Saccharomyces cerevisiae S288C: one gene and its partner. Each later gene encodes a partner of the first gene's protein in a complex. Each region holds a gene or a part of one and is shown on either strand. Other genes may lie near its edges. A codon is read from its position in the direction of its gene.

Evidence for each region. The genes of interacting proteins can lie anywhere in the genome.
Region 2: the proteins of RRP7 (region 1) and UTP22 are in contact, whole or in part, in a crystal structure (PDB 4M5D), measured with the Saccharomyces cerevisiae proteins. Residues at the interface, in NP_009899.1 of Saccharomyces cerevisiae: Ile3 (codon at 2,116), Ile6 (codon at 2,125), Ala8 (codon at 2,131), Met9 (codon at 2,134), Lys10 (codon at 2,137), Asn11 (codon at 2,140), Phe13 (codon at 2,146), Val15 (codon at 2,152), Leu20 (codon at 2,167), Pro21 (codon at 2,170), Asp22 (codon at 2,173), His23 (codon at 2,176), Ala25 (codon at 2,182), Leu26 (codon at 2,185), Ser33 (codon at 2,206), Leu34 (codon at 2,209), His35 (codon at 2,212), Phe36 (codon at 2,215), Phe38 (codon at 2,221), Phe54 (codon at 2,269), Val56 (codon at 2,275), Asn57 (codon at 2,278), Leu58 (codon at 2,281), Pro59 (codon at 2,284), Leu60 (codon at 2,287), Leu61 (codon at 2,290), Glu92 (codon at 2,383), Phe93 (codon at 2,386), Gly94 (codon at 2,389), Leu95 (codon at 2,392); in NP_011604.3 of Saccharomyces cerevisiae: Asp794, Glu795, Ile796, Thr797, Ser798, Lys801, Ala802, Thr804, Ala805, Leu808, Phe824, Phe825, Ser826, Arg827, Glu829, Tyr833, Asn834, Leu835, Glu836, Val838, Leu862, Tyr863, Arg865, Ala866, Asn869, Ala870, Leu874, Glu877, Leu878, Thr1104.

What each region holds. Positions count from the first base shown.
Region 1 is NC_001135.5:64,175-67,677, reverse strand, and holds RRP7 (Rrp7p), read left to right. Parts: upstream 1-2,109; coding exon 2,110-3,003; downstream 3,004-3,503. Other genes in the region: HIS4 (trifunctional histidinol dehydrogenase/phosphoribosyl-AMP cyclohydrolase/phosphoribosyl-ATP diphosphatase), read left to right, coding at 1-1,744; STE50 (Ste50p), read right to left, coding at 3,197-3,503. UniProt on the Saccharomyces cerevisiae protein: Plays an important role in the synthesis of 18S rRNA but is not required for the 5.8S and 25S pathway. Is necessary for the cleavage at site A2. Is required for efficient association of RPS27 with the pre-ribosomal particle.
Region 2 is NC_001139.9:660,292-664,048, forward strand, and holds the start of UTP22 (rRNA-processing protein UTP22), read left to right. Parts: upstream 1-2,066; coding exon 2,067-3,757. UniProt on the Saccharomyces cerevisiae protein: Involved in nucleolar processing of pre-18S ribosomal RNA and ribosome assembly.

The sequences.
Region 1 (3,503 bases):
GTTTATCGTTGAACAAGAAAACGTTGGATTTTGCCACTTGGAGACCATGTCTTGCTTTGGTGAATTCAAGCATGGTTTGGTGGGGCTAGAATCTTTACTAAAACAAAGGCTACAGGACGCTCCAGAGGAATCTTATACTAGAAGACTATTCAACGACTCTGCATTGTTAGATGCCAAGATCAAGGAAGAAGCTGAAGAACTGACTGAGGCAAAGGGTAAGAAGGAGCTTTCTTGGGAGGCTGCCGATTTGTTCTACTTTGCACTGGCCAAATTAGTGGCCAACGATGTTTCATTGAAGGACGTCGAGAATAATCTGAATATGAAGCATCTGAAGGTTACAAGACGGAAAGGTGATGCTAAGCCAAAGTTTGTTGGACAACCAAAGGCTGAAGAAGAAAAACTGACCGGTCCAATTCACTTGGACGTGGTGAAGGCTTCCGACAAAGTTGGTGTGCAGAAGGCTTTGAGCAGACCAATCCAAAAGACTTCTGAAATTATGCATTTAGTCAATCCGATCATCGAAAATGTTAGAGACAAAGGTAACTCTGCCCTTTTGGAGTACACAGAAAAGTTTGATGGTGTAAAATTATCCAATCCTGTTCTTAATGCTCCATTCCCAGAAGAATACTTTGAAGGTTTAACCGAGGAAATGAAGGAAGCTTTGGACCTTTCAATTGAAAACGTCCGCAAATTCCATGCTGCTCAATTGCCAACAGAGACTCTTGAAGTTGAAACCCAACCTGGTGTCTTGTGTTCCAGATTCCCTCGTCCTATTGAAAAAGTTGGTTTGTATATCCCTGGTGGCACTGCCATTTTACCAAGTACTGCATTAATGCTTGGTGTTCCAGCACAAGTTGCCCAATGTAAGGAGATTGTGTTTGCATCTCCACCAAGAAAATCTGATGGTAAAGTTTCACCCGAAGTTGTTTATGTCGCAGAAAAAGTTGGCGCTTCCAAGATTGTTCTAGCTGGTGGTGCCCAAGCCGTTGCTGCTATGGCTTACGGGACAGAAACTATTCCTAAAGTGGATAAGATCTTGGGTCCAGGTAATCAATTTGTGACTGCCGCCAAAATGTATGTTCAAAATGACACTCAAGCTCTATGTTCCATTGATATGCCAGCTGGCCCAAGTGAAGTTTTGGTTATTGCCGATGAAGATGCCGATGTGGATTTTGTTGCAAGTGATTTGCTATCGCAAGCTGAACACGGTATTGACTCCCAAGTTATCCTTGTTGGTGTTAACTTGAGCGAAAAGAAAATTCAAGAGATTCAAGATGCTGTCCACAATCAAGCTTTACAACTGCCACGTGTGGATATTGTTCGTAAATGTATTGCTCACAGTACGATCGTTCTTTGTGACGGTTACGAAGAAGCCCTTGAAATGTCCAACCAATATGCACCAGAACATTTGATTCTACAAATCGCCAATGCTAACGATTATGTTAAATTGGTTGACAATGCAGGGTCCGTATTTGTGGGTGCTTACACTCCAGAATCGTGCGGTGACTATTCAAGTGGTACTAACCATACATTACCAACCTATGGTTACGCTAGGCAGTACAGTGGTGCCAACACTGCAACCTTCCAAAAGTTTATCACTGCCCAAAACATTACCCCTGAAGGTTTAGAAAACATCGGTAGAGCTGTTATGTGCGTTGCCAAGAAGGAGGGTCTAGACGGTCACAGAAACGCTGTGAAAATCAGAATGAGTAAGCTTGGGTTGATCCCAAAGGATTTCCAGTAGATTATTTCTAACTTGGAAACCGAACACTAACGAAAATAATATGTATATATACATATATATATCAAACAAAATACAGTCTTGAATGAATAGAGATACACTATGTAATGAATGGTAACGTAAAAATTGTAATTTTGGATTAAAAGAGAGGTAGTAGCAAGAGTGGGTATCAAATAGCGATTAATAAATGAATATCCTTATTGTCATCACTTCGAACGACGTAAGTTAAATTGGAAAATTTTTCACTTTTTGGTCACCTAAGAAATAAGCAGGAAAAAGAAGAGAACATTGAGAGGATGGTAAAGCAAGAGGCATTTAGGGCGAACGAACTAGGTAACAGATAACAACCTCAGATAGAGTGTTACGGGATGGGTATTGAAGACATTAGCGCCATGAAGAACGGGTTTATAGTGGTGCCGTTCAAATTACCGGATCACAAGGCACTACCCAAAAGCCAGGAAGCTTCGTTGCATTTCATGTTTGCTAAAAGACACCAGAGTTCAAATTCCAACGAGTCTGACTGTTTGTTTTTGGTCAACCTTCCATTATTATCTAACATAGAGCACATGAAGAAATTTGTCGGGCAGCTCTGTGGGAAATACGATACAGTATCGCATGTAGAGGAACTACTATATAACGATGAATTTGGATTACATGAAGTAGATTTATCGGCATTGACCTCCGATCTGATGTCCTCCACTGACGTCAACGAGAAGAGATACACACCAAGAAACACGGCGCTATTAAAATTTGTTGATGCTGCAAGTATAAATAACTGCTGGAATGCTTTGAAAAAATACTCGAATTTGCATGCCAAACATCCAAATGAACTATTTGAATGGACATATACGACTCCATCATTCACAACTTTTGTTAACTTCTACAAACCACTGGATATTGATTATTTGAAAGAAGATATTCATACACATATGGCAATTTTTGAACAGCGTGAAGCTCAAGCACAAGAGGATGTTCAAAGTTCTATAGTGGATGAGGATGGATTCACATTAGTTGTAGGAAAGAACACCAAGTCATTGAATTCCATAAGAAAGAAAATATTAAACAAAAATCCATTATCCAAACATGAAAATAAGGCCAAGCCAATTTCAAATATAGATAAAAAGGCAAAGAAAGATTTCTATAGATTTCAGGTCAGAGAACGTAAAAAACAGGAGATCAATCAACTGTTAAGTAAATTTAAGGAAGATCAAGAAAGAATCAAGGTAATGAAAGCTAAGAGAAAATTCAATCCATACACTTAAACCACCATCCTCGTCATCATATTCAACATATCTCAATATATCTATAAAACTAATAATATAATATAACATAATATAGTATAATAGTATAAGTTTAAAGGCATCAATAATTTTTTTCTTTCATATATATTCTGCTAGCATACATGTTATCCTATTCGTGTAAGTTTAGTATGATGATGTGCATGACAACTGCACATTAGAGTCTTCCACCGGGGGTGACATTGTCACTTCCGTTCATCATTGCTACTTCTTCGAAATCACCTCTTCTTCTTAACATAATGGCGGGGTGCAAACCCTGTTGCTTTAAGTTCTTGAATATGATCACAGGCTTTTCGTTCAATTCTAACAGCCTCTCTTGATCCCCATAGCAAATGACCAAGACATATTGTCTCCAATCCTGATCTGCTAAGTTATGTCTTTTCATTGCGTTTTTCAAGATCCGTTCGCAGGAGTCTTCTTTAGATGCACGCAACTGTTTTAACGCCTCGTTAGGTGATGGCCCC
Region 2 (3,757 bases), on another chromosome or scaffold:
TACTAAGTTCATGGAAAGAATTGCAATGGATTGAGGTTTCTAACGAGGTTATCACTACCGCAAATATAGAGAGTAAGTTGGTAATATACAACAATAGAATTTAATCAATAACCAATCTCAACATTATTGTATCGTATTTTAACTTATAATTGTGCTCATATCAAGTTTTCTAGGTTACAATTACGACCAATTCTCAGGTTGTTTTGCAAAATTGGCGAAGAGATGGAGGCCTACCACATATTATCACGATTTGATAGGGATAATCTGAGTAACGATTAGTTATTGACGAATCCCTTTAATATAGTTTCCACACGAGAATAGGCGCCTACTAAAGAATTGATGAATCTGCTGGTAATTTCTAGGTTTCCATTATTCGGTAAAATATACGGAATGTATTAGGGGTTCTTCATGACGATCAAAGATCCATGAATGGAGATCGGTATTTTTAAGTAATAGTGCTACTATTTTTTTCCTTTTTGCATTCTGTCGTTCAATATCCTGTTACATTATTAATCTTAGTTTCGGATTCCACTGAAATCAATAACTATATCCCATGGCTTGGGCCTTAATTCTTGTGTCATATACAATAATATGCTAGTGCCGTGAACACTAGCCAATGAAGAAATGATCGTTTTCCAACACATACCGGACGTGGCTCTGATAGTGCTCGACGATGGAAATTTCAGCATGCATACTGATGTATGTCAAGATAACAACTACAGTCCTATCGTCGTGATTATAGGGAATCGACCGCGCCACTGCTATGACAACGGAAAGTTTATCCATGGCCTGCTGATTTTGATGCTGCTGTGGACACGAGAATACCAACACCTGTTCACATCTTCATGTGGATGAACGTAACGAAGTGGATATTTAGGCTCGGTAGCGAATCTTTTGCCGTACCTCCAAATTTATCTTGTATCGATTTTTCCGTCTAGTTGAAACTGTTATTATCCGCCCCTCCAATTTTCTGTAAAGCATAGGTGCTTCTTCAAAGTATCCAATGTATTTCTTAAGCTTATCAAGAAATAACATACTTCGAATACGTCCCAAGTTTTCTGATAACTTTATCATATTCTTTTGGCTAATTGGCGATCGTTTATATACCCCAGTGATTTTGGTTATAAATTTATAATATAGTTCAAACTATCCTTCCTTTAGAACAACTGTAAGCTTTAATTTTGAGCAAGCGCTACCATTTGATATATAGCAAACTAACCAAAATGCTAAGACATCTTCTAGTCTAAAAGTAACTCTTTTTCTGTGTATCTAATTCACATTGTGAATTTGAAAAGTACCCTTATTTGTATATATGTTGGTTTTGATGGTAGGTGACCTCACTTTTCTTTAGAAAATTTGCAATTATAGTTTTAGACAATCCCTTTATGTTTCATGTGCGTATTCATTATTTTTAACAAATTCCTAGTTCTCAAATCTGAGTCTCTTGGTAAAAATTTGCCTCCTTAGCTTAGTGGTAGAGCGTTGCACTTGTAATGCAAAGGTCGTTAGTTCAATTCTGACAGGTGGCATAATTTTATATATCTCTTTTTTTGCTTGTTGTACGGAAGTTCTGTCCATCCGGTGGGCGACCGGTATAGAATTATCGCGCCATCCATGAAGGTTGGCCCAGGGCCGAGTAAAGATTTAGGCAGGACCGGTGGTGGCCACTGCCTGGGAACGTCGGCCTACGGCTCGCTGCATGCCGTTGAAAAATTTCAATTGTAATTTGGAAAATTTAACCAAATGATAATTTCAATATGTACCACTAGCACTTTACGTCAAGAATCTCAAGCAAACCAAAGGGTTTTAATCTTATACTTTTCCATTCTATTTTTTAATAGAATTTAAATCGGCAGCTCTTATACTTGGAAACAGGACGTTTTCATTTTGCTTTTTTGAAGGCCAGATATTTGCTTTCACTTTAAGAACCAACTCCAAGAAATCTTCAAAGTTTCCTTTGTTAGATTTATCCTCTGATTGAATTATTGAAACCACAGGTATAATCACTTTGGGGTAGAACATTATAGTTTTCATAGAAATTTTACAAAGGATCTCCTTCATATACCATGGCTACAAGTGTTAAAAGAAAAGCATCTGAGACTTCTGACCAGAATATTGTTAAAGTGCAAAAGAAACATTCCACACAGGACAGCACAACTGACAACGGATCCAAAGAAAATGATCACAGTAGTCAAGCCATCAACGAGCGTACCGTGCCCGAGCAAGAAAACGACGAAAGCGATACTTCACCTGAAAGTAACGAGGTCGCTACTAACACTGCTGCGACTCGCCACAATGGAAAGGTTACTGCAACAGAGTCCTATGATATTCACATAGCTAGAGAAACGGCTGAATTATTCAAGTCTAATATTTTCAAGTTACAAATTGACGAATTACTGGAGCAAGTGAAGTTAAAACAAAAACATGTTCTGAAAGTCGAAAAATTTCTACACAAGTTATATGATATTCTCCAGGAAATTCCTGATTGGGAGGAAAAGTCATTAGCTGAAGTGGACTCCTTCTTCAAAAACAAGATTGTTTCTGTTCCATTTGTTGACCCCAAACCTATTCCTCAAAATACTAATTATAAATTCAATTACAAGAAACCAGACATCTCCTTAATTGGCTCCTTTGCTCTTAAAGCTGGAATTTATCAACCTAACGGCTCTTCCATTGATACTTTACTAACAATGCCAAAGGAGTTGTTCGAAAAAAAAGATTTCTTAAATTTCAGGTGCTTACACAAGAGGAGCGTTTATTTAGCATACCTAACCCACCACCTATTGATATTATTGAAAAAAGATAAATTAGACTCATTTTTGCAACTCGAGTATTCTTATTTTGATAATGATCCGCTTTTACCAATTTTAAGAATTAGTTGTTCCAAACCAACGGGTGATTCTCTTTCTGATTATAACTTTTACAAGACCAGATTCTCTATCAACTTGCTTATTGGTTTCCCATACAAAGTCTTTGAACCAAAAAAACTGTTACCCAATAGAAACTGTATTAGAATAGCACAAGAAAGCAAAGAGCAATCTTTACCAGCCACTCCTCTTTACAATTTTTCAGTGTTATCTTCTTCAACACATGAAAACTACCTGAAGTATTTATACAAGACGAAGAAACAAACAGAATCTTTTGTTGAAGCTACTGTTTTAGGTAGATTATGGCTGCAGCAACGTGGGTTTTCATCCAATATGTCGCATTCTGGTTCATTGGGTGGATTCGGTACTTTTGAATTTACTATCTTGATGGCAGCGTTATTAAACGGTGGTGGTATAAATAGTAACAAGATATTACTTCACGGGTTTTCATCATACCAATTGTTTAAAGGTGTAATAAAATACTTAGCCACTATGGATTTGTGCCACGACGGCCATTTACAATTTCATTCTAATCCAGAGAATTCCTCCAGTTCACCAGCTTCTAAATATATTGATGAGGGTTTCCAAACTCCAACCTTATTTGATAAGTCAACCAAGGTCAATATTCTTACAAAAATGACTGTTTCTTCTTATCAAATTTTGAAAGAATATGCCGGTGAAACATTGAGAATGCTAAACAACGTTGTTCAAGACCAATTCTCAAATATTTTTTTGACTAATATTAGCCGTTTTGACAATTTGAAGTACGATCTGTGTTACGATGTACAGTTACCTTTGGGTAAGTACAATAATTTAGAAACTTCTTTAGCTGCTACATTTGGGTCAATGGAAAGAGTAAAATTTATTACTCTGGAGAATTTCCTCGCCCA